2 linked regions of the Lonchura striata genome follow. The protein of the gene in region 1 purifies or fractionates together with the protein of each later gene. This does not show direct contact. Links are inferred from orthologs where the notes say so. Each region holds a gene or a part of one and is shown on either strand. Other genes may lie near its edges.

The links. The genes of interacting proteins can lie anywhere in the genome.
Region 2: the proteins of SERBP1 (region 1) and TSR1 purify together in Homo sapiens (affinity purification with mass spectrometry; 3 studies listed by BioGRID and IntAct, with this or other methods). This does not show direct contact. The link is inferred for Lonchura striata from reciprocal best matches to the Homo sapiens genes SERBP1 and TSR1.

What each region holds. Positions count from the first base shown.
Region 1 is NC_134611.1:5,097,194-5,104,846, reverse strand, and holds the start of SERBP1 (SERPINE1 mRNA-binding protein 1), read right to left. Parts: upstream 3,012-7,653; 5' UTR 2,906-3,011; coding exon 2,545-2,905; intron 1-2,544. UniProt on the Homo sapiens protein: Ribosome-binding protein that promotes ribosome hibernation, a process during which ribosomes are stabilized in an inactive state and preserved from proteasomal degradation.
Region 2 is NC_134622.1:7,226,524-7,233,752, forward strand, and holds the start of TSR1 (pre-rRNA-processing protein TSR1 homolog), read right to left. Parts: upstream 3,012-7,229; 5' UTR 2,990-3,011; coding exon 2,884-2,989; intron 2,814-2,883; coding exon 2,710-2,813; intron 1,540-2,709; coding exon 1,323-1,539; intron 1,243-1,322; coding exon 1,108-1,242; intron 801-1,107; coding exon 373-800; intron 113-372; coding exon 1-112. Other genes in the region: POLDIP2 (polymerase delta-interacting protein 2), read right to left, coding at 5,852-5,966. UniProt on the Homo sapiens protein: Required during maturation of the 40S ribosomal subunit in the nucleolus.

The DNA of each region.
Region 1 (7,653 bases):
CTCATGATCTTGGAGGTGTTTCTCAACCTAAATGATCCTGGGATTGTGCTCTTGGAAACTCTTCTGGGCAGCAGTGCCACCACCTGTACCAGACAGGTGTCACCTGCAGTGCCACTGGTCAGTGACTAACTGGGGTCCTCCCAGTCCAACATTCCCTGACAAGGATTCTCCTTCTGGTGCACTTCTCAAAATAGATTAAGAATCCACAGTGCCACCGAGCTGCCCAGCGTTCTTCCTCCCTGCCTAGGCCTCCTAAAAGGGTTTTTATTGCAAATAAAAACCTCCTGTGGGCATTCTCTTCTTTACCAAGCCCTCTCCAAGACCTAACACAGTTTTCTTTTCCACTCATGTGAAAGGCCATGTTTACACTTCTTTAAAAGATGAGGACAAACACATTTCTTATACCATTTTATTTCCAAAACACTGGCTCCAAAATTAACAAACCAAGCTTTTAAATTCAAAGCCGATTTTTAATTATTTTTTTAAAGAGCCCAGTTCCTGCCTAGCAAGCAATGTCAAATTTGGGTGGGGCTACAGAAGTTGCAGTTGTAATGATATCCAAGCCAACACACCCAGATGAACAATGTCTCCCTCACCTTCCAAGCTGTGTTTAACATGAAGTTTGCATGGCACACATAGCTCCCGAAGCATTCCCGACTCCCTGAGGAAACAAGGGGTTAAAGCCAGCAGCCTGCACTGGGAGAAGGGCTCTCCAGTGGGGACAGGCATTCCATGTGAGCAGGAGAAGCAGGGAGAGGAGCAGGCATGCTGCAGAACTGGAATGGAACAGCCACGGCTTTTGAATTTCGAGTTCAACGCCCTGCACTCAGAAAAACCCGGTTCCTGCTGAAGCCTAACCCAAAATACGAGTTATTTCTCAGCATCACCAAGCTTTGAACTGCTAATTCAGCAGGCAAATCACTTGCAGCCTTATGGAGTACTGGAATAGCTTAAAAATACATTCACACAGGAAACAAACCCTGGCATCGAGCACCTTTATGATGCCAAAACTGCAAAAACAGCCACACACTAAAATAGACATTTTCAAACTGGAAATCGACTTTGTTTACCACACTGCTACAACAGCAGCCCCGACTTTCTCTGTTTCACTACCATAACAAACCACGAAAACAGTTATTTTTCACAGTGCTCTTGAAAAAAAGATGTGAAAATCAGAAGGTGAAGAAGAGGGGCTGCCCAAAGGCCTCCTGTGGTGCCAAAGACTCTGCCATGTCCCAGGTGTGTCTCGTGGGAGAATCCTGCACCTCACTGAGGCTTCCAGAGGACACTGGTCTGGCAGATCATTGCATCCCTCGCACAGAAAACGCTCCTAACGCTAATGAGCACGAGATCCACAGGCAATGAGTATTTCTACCGTCCTTCCTACATTTGTCTTCTCTCACAAGGTGCTTTCGAATAACATTTACCACACCCACTTTCCAAAACAAACAACACACTAAACTTATTTCTTTCTCTAACAGCATAAAGCAGTGGAGAAGCAGCATCACTCTGTAGCATAAATGCAGAAGCATTAAGATGCTCTCAGGTAGCACCGTGCTCTGTGAAAAGCTCCTTGAAACTGCAGTTAACCTGTTATCCCCTCGCTCCCACGTCATCTGCTGTCGCCACACTCTGATGGTTTTTTGTCCCAAGGATTCCTTCGAGCCCGAGCTGTGGCCCACCTGCCGAGGGCTGAAGTTGGGGCGCGGTGGAGCTGCTGCCCGCACGGGACGCCATGTGCCCACATCCCTCCCTATCCATGCGCGGCCCCGGCCTCCTAATTCCCAAAGCACGTTCTTCAGTCTGTTTGTAGCTCAGTTCCTTGTTTACAAAGTTTTTCCGTGTAGGGTGTCTTAGAAATTTAGGGGAAACTAAGAATTCGTGCAAGTTGTTATTTAAGAATATATGGAAACAAGAAGATGGCTATCAACGCTGTTCCCCTAGAAAATGACCCAAACAAATTTTGGAAAGCCCAGGAACTTCCAGATATCCTGTCAAACCCATCAAACACGAGTCAAGTTCAGGATACAAGGCCGAATGGGGCTTGGAGCAACCTGGTCTAGTGGAAGGTGTCCCTGCCCATGGCAGCAGGTGAACGAGAAGGGCCTTTCCAACCCGAACCGTTCCAGAATTCCATATGCCGGTTTAGATGGGATACTGGGGCAGGAATTGCTCCCTCTGAGGGTGGGCAGGGGCTGGAGTAGAATCCCCAGAGCAGCTGTGGCTGGATCCCTGGCAGTGCCCAAGGCCAGGCTGGACAAGCCGGGGACGGCGGAAGGTGCCCTACGGCAGGGCTGCAACGGGATGGCCTTTCAGCTCCCTCCTAACGCGACCGCCCCACGGCCGGCATTTCCCAGCTCGCGTGTCTCCCGTCCGCCCCGCACGCCCGACTCCATTTTGCGCGGGCCGAGCCCGGCACACGTGGGGCCGGCCGAGCCCCGCGCCGCCGCCGCCGGCCCCGCGGCCGCCCCGGGCGCGCTCCGCCATGCGCGGCCCCACGTGCGGCCCGACCCTGCCCCAACTCCCTCCCCGCCGGCCGCTCACCCTCCTTCCGCAGCGGCGCTCCGGGCTGGCCCCCGCCATCCTCCCGGCGCTCCCCGCCGGCGAAGGGCGGCAGCGGGTTCTTGCGCTCCTTCTGCGACTCCCTGCGCAGCTGCTTGGCCGCGCTGCCCGCGCCGCCGCCCGCCTGGCCCGCTCCGCCGGCCCCGCCCGAGGAGCCGCTCTGGGCGCCCGCCGGCCCGCGGGCCCCGCCGCCCGCTTGGCTCCCGCCGCCGCCTCCGCCGCTCTCCTTCCTCCGGCTCTCCGCCGCGCGCAGCACCTCGAAGGGATCGGACTCGTCATCGAAAAGCTGATCGAAGCGGTTGGTGACGACGCACCCGAAGCCCTCCTGCAGGTGTCCGGGCATGATGGGCCCCCGTCGGCGGGATCCTGCGCGGATGCTACCGGGCCCCCCGCGCCCTGCTGGCTGCCGCACAAGATGGCGGGCCCTGAGGAGACGCGCTTCTCTTCCGGCGCGGCCACATCCGGGCACCCCCCCACGCAACGGTGGAGAGGGCGCTGCAGCGCCGCCAGCGGCCGCGCCGCGAACTACAGGCGCGCATTGTGTGAGGCGGGCGCGGAGTTTCCCGCCGTGGGCTGTACCATCGGGGAGAACGGGGGGGAACAGGTCGACGGGGGAGGCGGGGGGGGACGCGGGGCGGGGCGGAGCCCCGCACCGCGCCCCCCCCGCCTCCCCCGTCGACCCCCGCGCTTCGCTCGCCGGTGGTACCTCCCGCGTGTGGGCTCGCCTCAGAAATAAAACCTAAATTTAAAAAAAAATAAAGTTGATTTCCAGGCTTTGATCTGAAAGTTTTTTTTCCGATTTCTTCGGCATTTCTGCTCGTCTAATTAAGTGGAGGTGGGAGATGTTTGAGGTATTAATACGTATCAGCATATTACTAACATACAGTATAGATAAATACTGAATATTTCTATCTATAATAATATGTAATGTATGATATAGTAATATCTATCATGATGTGTAATATGTAATAACAATGCATCGTGCATTCTACATAACGTGCAAAGCACACCTAATGTTAACATAAATACACACATAATGTTAACATAAATGCTGTATATTAATCATAACGTATTGATGTAATTATGCATCAACATACCGCTATTATAATATTGATATATTATATATGCACTAGTGTCAGATTATAACCAAAAGGCATTATATCAAGAGATAGATATAAAACATTATATACATATAAAAAACATAATAAACATAATAATGACACCGCCTCATTTATTTATATAAATAAAAAACATAACAGATTGACATGTCCTTCAAAACACAATTTGACTGCTCACAGTTTATATCTCTAAGTCATCAGAACATTTTGGCACCTGTTACAAAATAAACTTTGCGCTCAGCAAGGATGTTATTTCCAACATTTCCTTTGCTTGCTCCCAGAAGCTTGAAATAATTGCTTTAAAAATTAATTTAATTCCATTTCTTCAGTCCTTGAGTGCGTATCGCTCATCAATTCAAAACCGGTTTGGAAAACTACGTAGTTTAGTTTCTTCAAATAAGTGAAAAATTTTTGGGTTCATGGATTGTTCTTCGTTATATATTATATATTATATATTATATACTATACATTATTATACACTATATATTATATATTATATAGTATATATTACATATTGTGTATTATGTATTGTATATTATATGTATTGTATATTTTATATTATATAGTATATCTTATAGAGTATATAATTATATATTACATATTATATATTATATATTATATATTATATTATATGTATTTATTTCGTTATAGATTTTATATTCTATTTCCCTGCAGTCCCACAGGTCCCTGTGCTCACTTCTGGGGAGGTTTTTGAGGAAACCCCTCCTGCAGCAACTCTGAGGGGGATTGCAGCAGCTCCCCACCCTTCCTGGGATATGAATAATCACCATAAATGACACCCTCAGAACTGAACACGTCCTCTCAAAGCCTTTTAGGGATGAATCAAACGGCACCGAGCAGCACCTAATTAAAAGGACATTCCCAGGAAAATCCTGGACGCCCCGTCAGCGCTCCGAGGCGCGTTGTGCCACACACGTATTTTATGGACTGAGGTATTGATGATCCCAAGATTGTAAAAAGTCTCTGGTTTTTTTGCTTTGTTGCCAAAGCAGAAGCCATAATTGGTCTGTGCTGGTTTCCAGGTTGTTTATTCTGTTTATCTCTCACATGTTCTGCTGCCCTGCCCAGCTCTGTCCTGCAGGGCAGCGTGTGGGGCTCTGCCCTCAGTGGGATGTGACAAACATTCAATACCAGAAACTCCCTGGGCTGCATTTACAATAACGTGCCAATATCTGTCACCCACGTTGGACAGTGTGTCCCCAGCCTGAACCAACAGAAAAATGCCAACACCACAGTGAGACATGGAGGGCATGAAGAAGGAGAAAAAGGACAAGGCACACCCAATTTCCTCCATCTTGTCCCCTTTGGACCCCTCATCTAGAATCCTAAAATTTTACTTTTGCACCCTTGCCACACTTAATTATGACTTATATCAAACACTCAGAGCTTGTAATTCATCCTGTGAGATTGAAAACTCTTTTCCATGGCCAGAGATCACAGCCAGTGTCTCTGGGGGCTCTGTCCAGGGGGTTCCTGAGCCCTGCCAGGGTCCCAGGGCAGCCAGGGGGATTCCCTGGATTCCCACAATGGACGAAACACGAACCATTCCCACTTGGATCCCGCTTTTGCCAGATGGCACTGGCAGCTTTATGGGAGGGGGTTTACCCACAGAAATGGGCTCTGAGGGCTGGGATTTGCAGCTCTGAGGGAAGGCAGAGCATCTGCCTTTTGCTGCTTCCCAAGGGGCTCCGCATGTCCGGCTCCCCTGCGCTGTTTGCTCAGAATTCCACAATTTTCCAGCGACACAAGGCTTGGGGCGGCACTTTGGATTAAACACACGCCGAACACGGGACACAGGGAATGGCTTCCCACTGGCAGGTGGGATATTGGGCAGGAATTCCTGGCTGGGAGGGCAGGCAGGCCCTGGCACAGGTGCCCAGAGGAGCTGTGGCTGCCCCTGGATCCCTGGAATCTCCAAGGCTGGGTCGGAGCAGCTTGGGAGAGTGGAAGGTGTCCCTGATCCAGATGGTCCTTTCCAACCCAAACCATTGCATGCTCTGATGAAAACAGACTGGAAGTGTTTAATACACAGAGGGAGATGGATCACCACGTGAACACAATCAGCGGAGTCGTGCATTCTGGGCAGCAGGAAGCAGGAATTGCAGCCTGCAGGAAGCTCCAGCTCTGCTCTGGGATGTCACACGCTGTGCTTGCACGCTGCTGTTTGCATTAATCAGCCCCACAATCAGCCACATGGGTCAAAAGTCCAAAAGACAACGTTGTGCATGAGTATAATTCACAGTTTTCAGGCACTTCCAGCCTCAAGACAATATTATCATTCCTAACATTAAAAAAAGGGTGTTTAAAATATTTAAACTAAAAGGAAGCCTTTACACCAAGAAGATCCTAGAGCTGCACCCACACAAGACTCGTTGCTCATGTGAAGGACCAGGACAGGACAGAAGCCACCTGTGTTTAGGCCAAATTTGAAAAACAACCCATTAACTGCACATTGAAACGGATGAGTTTTCCCCAGGGGACAGGCACAGCCTTGCAGGAATCCCAGCCCACACTGGATCAGGACACAGATCTGCAGCCAGCTGAGGCGAGGATGAGTGGCAGCACTCAGACAGTGAGGGAGTGATTAAAAAACTTAAAAAACACCCCGAGATCCTCCAGGAGCTGCCACCAAAAGCTGGGCTGGGTCTTCCTGCACGACAGACGCGTGTGTTCTCCTTTCCCACCGAGCAAACCGGTGTTCCCAGTGGCCAGAAGAGCAGATTCCCAGATTCCCAGTGCTATTTCTGGCTGGGACACGCAGAGCTCCGTGGCCCATGGATATCCCACCTAAGGAGCTGCTCCCGAGCTGCTGCCCAAAAGAGGCCTGGAGAGCCTTTGGACACGCCACGCTCCTCTGCTATTCCCAAGCTTTGCCAGCAGCTGTCAGCTGCCTGCTTAATAAGCAGGAATAGGAAATGCAGCAAGTTCACAGCAGGGGGAAAAGTATTCAGCCGGGTCCTTGCTCCATCCCAAAACCACGGTTTTCCTGATTTTGTACTCTTTGGATCTGTGTTGTGGGGTTTTCAGTAATTTCGCTGTCAGCATAGGCAATGTGTGGACAAGGAGGATGTTGCTTGGAGATTTTTTTGACAGGAAGCTTCCCTTAGGTTGGACTCCGTGGTCTTGGATGTCTTTTCCAGCTTTAATGGTTCTGTGATTCCAGGCCACAGGAAATAAAGGGATTGCTTCCAAATAAAGTCGAGTATAGCCACGACTTCTGAGCATGAAATATTTCACATGCATCACAGAGAAATGTAGCAACTTCTCAGCTTGCATCCACACGTGGATCCCTTCTGAGAAGAGCTGCCAGAATTAACCAGCACTGCCCAGCTGGACAGCAGGAATGAGCAGGAGAAGGCAGAGCTCACGAGGAGATCCACGATCTGCAACGCACCTCTTTATCCTCCCACATATTCTGCTCATTTCAGCACATCACTAGTTGCTGCTTCTTCTTTTTTTTTTTTTTTTTTTTTTAATATGGCAGAAAACGCAGCAGTTTCATTATGAGGAGGGCTGTAAACATGTGAATAACAGCAGAATTTCTACCCTAAGTACGTGCAGTGAAAAATGCCCTCCCACAGCATTGCTCTGTGCTTTAAAATGTGCACAGACAAGCAAAGCAAATCATGCAGACACAGAACTTGGCTTGTAAATCAAGGCAGACTAATTGAGCTCTGCCTGAACTTTCTTCCCCTGAATCCTAAACAACCTGCCGAGCAAGTGTTCTTCCTTGGAGCAGCCAAGGTAAGAGGTATTTTTAGTTTGGAAAAGCAGCTCTGGAGCTGTACGAAGCAGAAGGTCGGGTACACCAAACACTCCTTCTGTCGCTGCTATTTCTGTGAGCTGGGCTGATTCCTCTGAGCTGTGCTCCAGCCACCCCTTCCCTGCCTCTCCAAGCTGTGGAATGGTGGTGCCAGGAGGGGCTGGGGGATGGAATCATGGAATCACAGCT
Region 2 (7,229 bases), on another chromosome or scaffold:
CCATGGGATCAGGAACCACTTCTGACTGTAGAGACTCCTGCTTGCTTGGATCTGCCTTCATCAGCACCTTGACATCTTCCTCCATCTCAACAGCACCATTTCCAGAGTCATCCTGAAGGGGAAGAGCAGAGTTCCTAGATCTGAACACACCTAACTGAAGCTTGCAGTCAGTCTCAGGTGAAACTCCCTTCATGATGTCATGACATAACCCTCATTACACACTGCAGGCACAAAACCTCAGCCCAGCAGCAGAACACAGATAGAACTCTCCTTCCCCTCTCCTCACCCACATACCCCCAGCTGTATTTTCCCCAATGAAAGTTTAGAAAACTTATGTTCTAAGAGGACTGGCAAAGCTCTCACCCCACACACCTGAACCTCCATGTCCTGGCTCCTCTTCTGTCCTTTAACCACCCGTGGGTTCAAAGAGAGCGGGTCAGGGGGAGCATCCACCTGGCTCAGCTGGAAGTCCCCATGCCCCACGATGTGCACCAGGCTGTTCACGTTGAGGGTCTGTCCCCGGACAAAGCCGGACACCTTCAGGGTGCCCAGCAGGTCGCTGTCCTGGCTGGGCACAAACTCAGCAGCACGGGCCAGCAGGTGAGCGCGGCGGTCCCGGAAAGCCAAGTGCCTCTGCTTCTGGGAGCTGAGGTGCCTCAGGAGCAGCGAGGATTCCTGCTCCGTGTTCAGTGGGAACAGCTTGGCCTCGGGGAAACGCTTCTCAATGGATTTGGAGAGTTTCTTCCTGGCATCTATCCTCTTCTTAGGGGGCAGGTCAGTGCCTCCCGGGACAGCCAGAGCTGCCGAGCAAAGAACAGAGCTCCCATCAGATCCTAAAACTCCTGATGTTCTTTTTACCAAACACAGGCAAACACTTGGATGTCAGCAGCCCAAATGGCCAGATTTGCACCACAGGTACAAAGGGAGTTTGGTTTTAGTGGTGCCCAGCAGAACAAAGAGCAACAGCCATAAACTGAAATGAAAGAACTTCTACCTCAATATAAGAAAAAAGTTCTTTTCACTGAAGGTGACAGAGCCCTGAAATTTAATTACTGTGACACTCATTCCCCATATTAAGCACCCCCAGAAACCCAAAACATTTCTCACCATAACTGGGGAGCCCCTGTGCAAAGAGGCAGGAGAGGCAGTGTTCCCCTGCACTGTCCCATCCATCCACAGGATCCAGGATGAACAGCAGGGAATCAGCAACCTTGGCAAGGTCTAAAACCGCGTGAAGATCCCCTGCACCCAAAACACCTCCATTAGTGGGGCTGCCAGAGGCACCAGAACCAAGAACCCAAGCAACAGCAGTGCCTCCTCACCTGCCTGGGCTGTGACAAAGTGCCAGCGCTGCTTGAGCTGTGGGCAGAGCAGAGCAAAGCCACCAGCTCCGCCCTCATCTGCACGGACAATGGCCGAGCTGAGGCTCTGCAGCAGCCGCAGCGAGTCCTGCACTGCAGCCCGGCTGTGCAGCAGCACCACAACCACCAGGTGCGGGGGGCCATCCCTGCTGCCAAGGCTGCGCTTCTCTGCCAGCACCTGCGGGTGAGGGCAGCGTGTGAATGCCCCAGGGCAGAGTGTGAATGCCCCGGGGCAGGGTGTGGATGCCCGAGGGCAGAGTGTGGATGCCCAAAGGCAGGGTGTGGATGCCCAAAGGCAGGGTGTGGATGCCACAGGGCAGGGTGTGGATGCCCCAGGGCAGAGTGTGGATGCCCCAGGGCACCGTATGGATGCCCCAGGGCAGAGTGTGAATGCCCCAGGGCAGGGTGTGTCGATGCCCCAGGGCAGCGTGTGAATGCCCCAGGGCAGGGTGTGGATGCCCAAAGGCAAGGTGTGGATGCCCCAGGGCATAGTGTGATTGCCCTGGGGCAGAGTGTGAATGCCCCAGGGCAGGGTGTGGATGCCCCGAGGGCAGAGTGTGGATGCCCCAGGGCAGAGTGTGGATGCCCAAAGGCAGGGTGTGGATGCCCAAAGGCAGGGTGTGGATGCCCCAGGGCAGAGTGTGAATGCCCCAGGGCAGCGTGTGGATGCCCCAGGGCAGAGTGTGGATGCCCAAAGGCAGAGTGTGGATGCCCAAAGGCAGGGTGTGGATGCCCAAAGGCAGGGTGTGGATGCCACAGGGCAGGGTGTGGATGCCCCTAGAGCAGAGTGTGGATGCCCCAGGGCAGAGTGTGGATGCCCAAAGGCAGGGTGTGGATGCCCCAGGGCAGAGTGTGAATGCCCCAGGGCAGGGTGTGGATGCCCAAAGGCAGAGTGTGGATGCCCCGAGGGCAGAGTGTGGATGCCTGAGGGCAGAGTGTGAATGCCCCAGGGCAGAGTGTGGATGCCCAAAGGCAGGGTGTGGATGCCCCGGGGCAGGGTGTGTATGCCCCGGGGCAGAGTGTGGATGCCCAAAGGCAGGGTGTGGATGCCCCGGGGCAGGGTGTGTATGCCCCGGGGCAGAGTGTGGATGCCAGCCCGAACGCGCCTCTTCTCCCGCTCCCGACCCAGGCCAGACTTCCCCACACCGCACCCGGTCCGGTAACCCTCCGCTTGGCCCGAACCGGGCCTGGCACCCGCTCGTTTCCTCCGCAAAAACCCAAACCGGTTGGACTGCACGGCCCGCACGCAGAGCCCCACGGCCGCATTCAAGCCCCCTCCGGCACAGACTCGAGCCGACCCGTTTCCCGCTGCCCCGCCACGACCGGCCCGGTTCCGCCGGTGCCTCACCGCCTCCTTGCGCTGCCGGCGGAGCTGCAGCGCCTGATGCCGCCGGTCCACCCTGCTCAGGTCGCGGAGCCGCCGGCGAGGCTGGGCCTTGACGGGGACGCGGCCTGCGGGAAGAGAACGGTAAGGCCGGCGGAGGGGCGGCGGGGAGCCGGCGGGGAGCCCGTGCCGTCTCACCTCCAGCGCGGCGCTGCGAGGAGCCGCTGTGCTTGCCGCCCTTGTGCGCCTTGTTCTGCTGCTTGAGCGGCCCGGGCCGGTGCGCGCCCGCCGCCGCCATCACCATGCTGCCGCCTCGCCGCCGTGCGCCACTTCCGCAGCGACGGGAACCGCGGGATCGCACGTGGGCGGCGAGAGGGAGGGACCGGGAAAGGAACCCCGGGAAAGGAGCCCGGGAGCGGGACCGAGCCCCGGCAAAGGAGCCGGGGACCGGGACCGAGCCCCGGGGCCGGGACCGAGCCCCGGGAAAGAAGCCCGGGACGGGGACTGGGGCAGGGACCGAGCCCCGGGAAAGGAGCCCGGGAGCGGGACCGAGCCCCGGCAAAGGAGCCTGGGACCGGGACCGGGACCGAGCCCCGTCAAAGGAGACCGGGATGGGGACCGGGACCGAGACCCGGGAAAGGAGCCCGGGAACGGGACCGGGACGGAACCCGGGAAAGGGCAAGGGCGAGCCCCGGGACCGAGACCGAGTCCTGGCAAAGGAGACCGGGACCGAGCCCCGTGAAAGGAGCCCGGGAACGGGACCGGGACCGAGCCCCGTGAAAGGAGCCCCGGACCGGGACCGAGCCCCGTGAAAGGAGCCCGGGAACGGGACCGGGACCGAGCCCCGTGAAAGGAGCCCGGAACGGGGACCGGGACCGAGCCCGGGAAAGGAGCCCGGGAACGGGACCGAGCCCCGGGAAAGGAGCCCGGGAACGGGACCGAGCCCCGGGAAAGGAGCCCGAGACGGGGACTGGGACCGACCCCTGGGAAAGGAGCCCCGGGACAGGGACCGGGACCGAGCCCCGGGGAAAGGGCAGGGGCGAGCCCCGAGGCGCGGAGGGTAGAGCCCCGGGGTTGGTGGCCGTAGTGCCGCTGGGCAATGAGAGGCGGGAGGCAGAGCCGTTCGTTCAGCGCTTTATTGGTTGGTTCTTTGTACAGGTATTTACACGGAGAGGGAGACAGGGCTCGGCCGCGCTCCGGGAAGGGCCGGGGGGATGAAGGAGTTGAGGAAAGGCCCTGCCGAGCGTCTGGCATCGCGCCCAGGCGCCAGGACAGGACAAAGCCTGCCGGAGTGGAAACATTCCTCCTGTCCCCGGTCTGTTACCGCGGTGACCTCGGTCTTGCTAATCATTATCCAGGCAGGAATGTCCGTTCCTAGGCAGAGGCCTCAGCCCCCATGGGACATCACCCCAAACCCCAGCAGAGCCTGCCCCGGGATCACTCCATCGCTAGGTTAAACATTCACAGGGGTGTTGCAATCGCCAGGAAAGCTGAAGCAAGCCGAGGGAGAGCCAGGGCAGCTGCATGGGAAGGGAAAAGCAGGTTCCTACAGGTTCCTGCTGCCTCTGAACTTGAGGCATCTTCCCACCTCCTCCTCCTGAGAGGAAATCAGCATGACAGCAGCAATGTCAGGTTGTCAGCTGTGAATGGTCTTTAGGGATCCTTTCCTACCCCTAAAAGCAGACTGGCTGTTTAAACTTTTGAAACTCTAAATATGAGCACTACCTGAGAGGAAGGAAGACACAAAACTGAAGAGTACTGGTGACAGATGAACACTGCAGTGATTGAGTCTCTCTAAACAGGAATCCAGTGGCTGTGGCACAGCATGAGAGTCTCCCCCAAAGGCTGTTTGCCCACAGCACTGCCTCAGCTCTGCCTTGCAGAGCTAAAGGCAAACAGCCTTAGAGGGGGTTCCAGGGAAGAGGGAAAAGCTAGGATACTTCTAAATCAAGGAAAACATCCCGTGAGTTAGTTATACCTTGTCATTTAAGCAAGAGTAGGGAAAGGAGGAAGGCTGGAAACTCTTCCTAGGGTTATCACAAAGCCAAGCACTTCTGCCTTCCAGTCATGCAGAAGTCTGGAAACCCAGAGGCATCAAGAAGGGTTCCACACCATGGGGGCTGATGAGCTTTGCAATTCTCAGTGCTGCTCAGGCTTTCCCACACATCCATACATTGTCATCTTACAGGGATTTCACTGACCTGCACATTCCTGCAGGGCCCTCCAGACACATGCCACCAAAAAATCACAACCTGCCAAGCAGAGCAAGCAGGAACAGAAAGCCAAGCACTGCCTCACAGCATTCCAAGTGAAAACAAGCATCCCTGTTACAGCAGTAACTACCAAGGAAATATTGCTGCAGTCAGTGTGAGCAGGGAATAACCTCCAGCAGCTGAGATGCAAATCCCTGCAGCAAAGCAAGGCCCTGGCAGGGAGAGGGCTCCTCTCAGCTCTCCTGTACCATCACAATACAGAGCCTGGTGCTCTGCACACACAGGATGCTGTGACAGCACCATACATCACCCATGTTGTCCCCTCTGCACCAAAAAGAACAGGCTTTGTATCAGAGCACAAACCCAGACAAGCTGTGCCATGAGTGGAGCTCACAGGCTGCTCCAACTCTATCCGAATCCCAAAAAGCAGCTGCACTGCAGAAAAGCTGAGCTCACATTCCTGTTCCCTATAGAAGGAGCAGCTGCTTCTGAAGCAGCAAGAACTCTGGGCTGACTCCACACAGGGGGAGCAACAAGCTGGGACAGGCTGGATGCAAAGCCAGGGCCTTGGCTTAGGAAGGAAGACTGGTTGCAACTGGAAGGGCCAGTTTATTAGAGAAACCTCACATTGCAGAGAAGTCACAACACATTGGAAAGGTCCAGGCCTGCTGAGGAGGGCCAGTCTTCTGCAGCAGCATAGATCTACATCCCCCAGCCCCAAAAACCCAGCAGGTGCCACAGAGGGAAGGGTTACCTGGAACACAGCTTATGTTTTACAAGCAGCCTGAGAGAAGGGCCAGTAGTAAAGTTCCAAAAAAAATCCTCCCCGGCAGAAAACAGTTACAACAAAAATGGTTTACAATGTTTAAAAGCTCCGTGTTCTTGGCTGCAGCATAAAGGGGAGGCAAAGGTCTACAACACACACAGGCCTCCGTGGCTCTGGGCACTCTGATCTACCAGTGAAGGCCAGAGGGAGGGGTCTTCTCATCTTTGTTGCTTTCCAGGGAAAAGGGTGGGATTCGGACATCAAAGTGGGAGCCATCAGGCCTCTCAAATCGAAAAGTGCCCCTGCAAAAATAATGGCAGAGGTCACACTGAGGCCAGGGACAAACACACCTAAGACACATCAGCAAAAGGGAAAGACCTGAGCTCTTCCACGTCCTGGGGGTCCATCTGCAAGGCTGGTCCAGCAGCAAGGACATGGGCTCAGCTGCAAACATGTGCTGCCAAGATAACTCATTTATGGAGGACTCCTGGGCAGTTTTACAGCACATCCCTAACATATCTCCTGCACAAAGCTGTGATGATTGCAGCCCATAGCAATCATCACATGCACCCAAGCATCCTCCATGCACCTGCAGTGGTGTTTACCCAACTCCCACTCCCCAGGAGACAGAGCCATCTGAGCTATTTTTACAGACTGGTTACATGTAAATTCAGATTTGTGTTTCTTGGCAGGAGCTCCACAGGTTGCCAATGACATTAAGAAGTCCCATCACAGATGTAATTTGGAATAGCTTCAGCTTTGCATTTCAGAACTGAGCCTGCCTGTCCTGGTACAACCATTTGTTTCCTGCTCTGAACTACAGAACACAACGTGGGCAAGAGGGTTGTTGAGATAAATTAACATGTTCTCAGGACAGAGAGGACACAACTGAACACCAGAAGTCAAGCTGAGCAGCTTCTGAGCTGCAGAACCTTTGTCTCTTTGTTGTCAGGATGTATGCAGAGAGGGAAAAACTACTAGACCATCTGGTTTTATTCCCCAGGGCATCCATTCAGGCAATTCAAAACACTTCACATGACAAACAAGGTACACCCTATATACAAAGAGCTGCTCTCCTGTTTTTCCCAACTCAAAGGCAACTTAACTTTGAAGATTTCCTTTAAAAAATGCAGAAGGACCTGTCATATGGAAGGCAAGAGTTTGCTGTGCAATCTTTGTCCACGCAAAGGTGACACAAATGTGCTAACCCAAAAGGCAAATAAAGACAAGCTGCTTTAATCCCAAAGCACAGGGAAAGAACAACTAAGCTGGGCACTTCTCTCCCAGCACTTACAGAAGAAGAAACTTAAACACCAGTTAGACTGGAGTCCTTACCTGGTCTAAACTAGGAAAACCCCTGCATGACCAATTCCTGACACAGATGTGCACAGAGATGGAGTTAAAGCCCAGCCCTCTCTCAAGAGACACCAGAGCACACATCCCTGCTGCTGAGGAATCACCAGTACAAGGCCTTGGCTCTTGCACCAAGGACAAAAGGAAGAATTGCTTAATGTCTCTAAATCCAGTCTACTACAGCAGGAGGATAAATTATCCTGGTGCAGAGA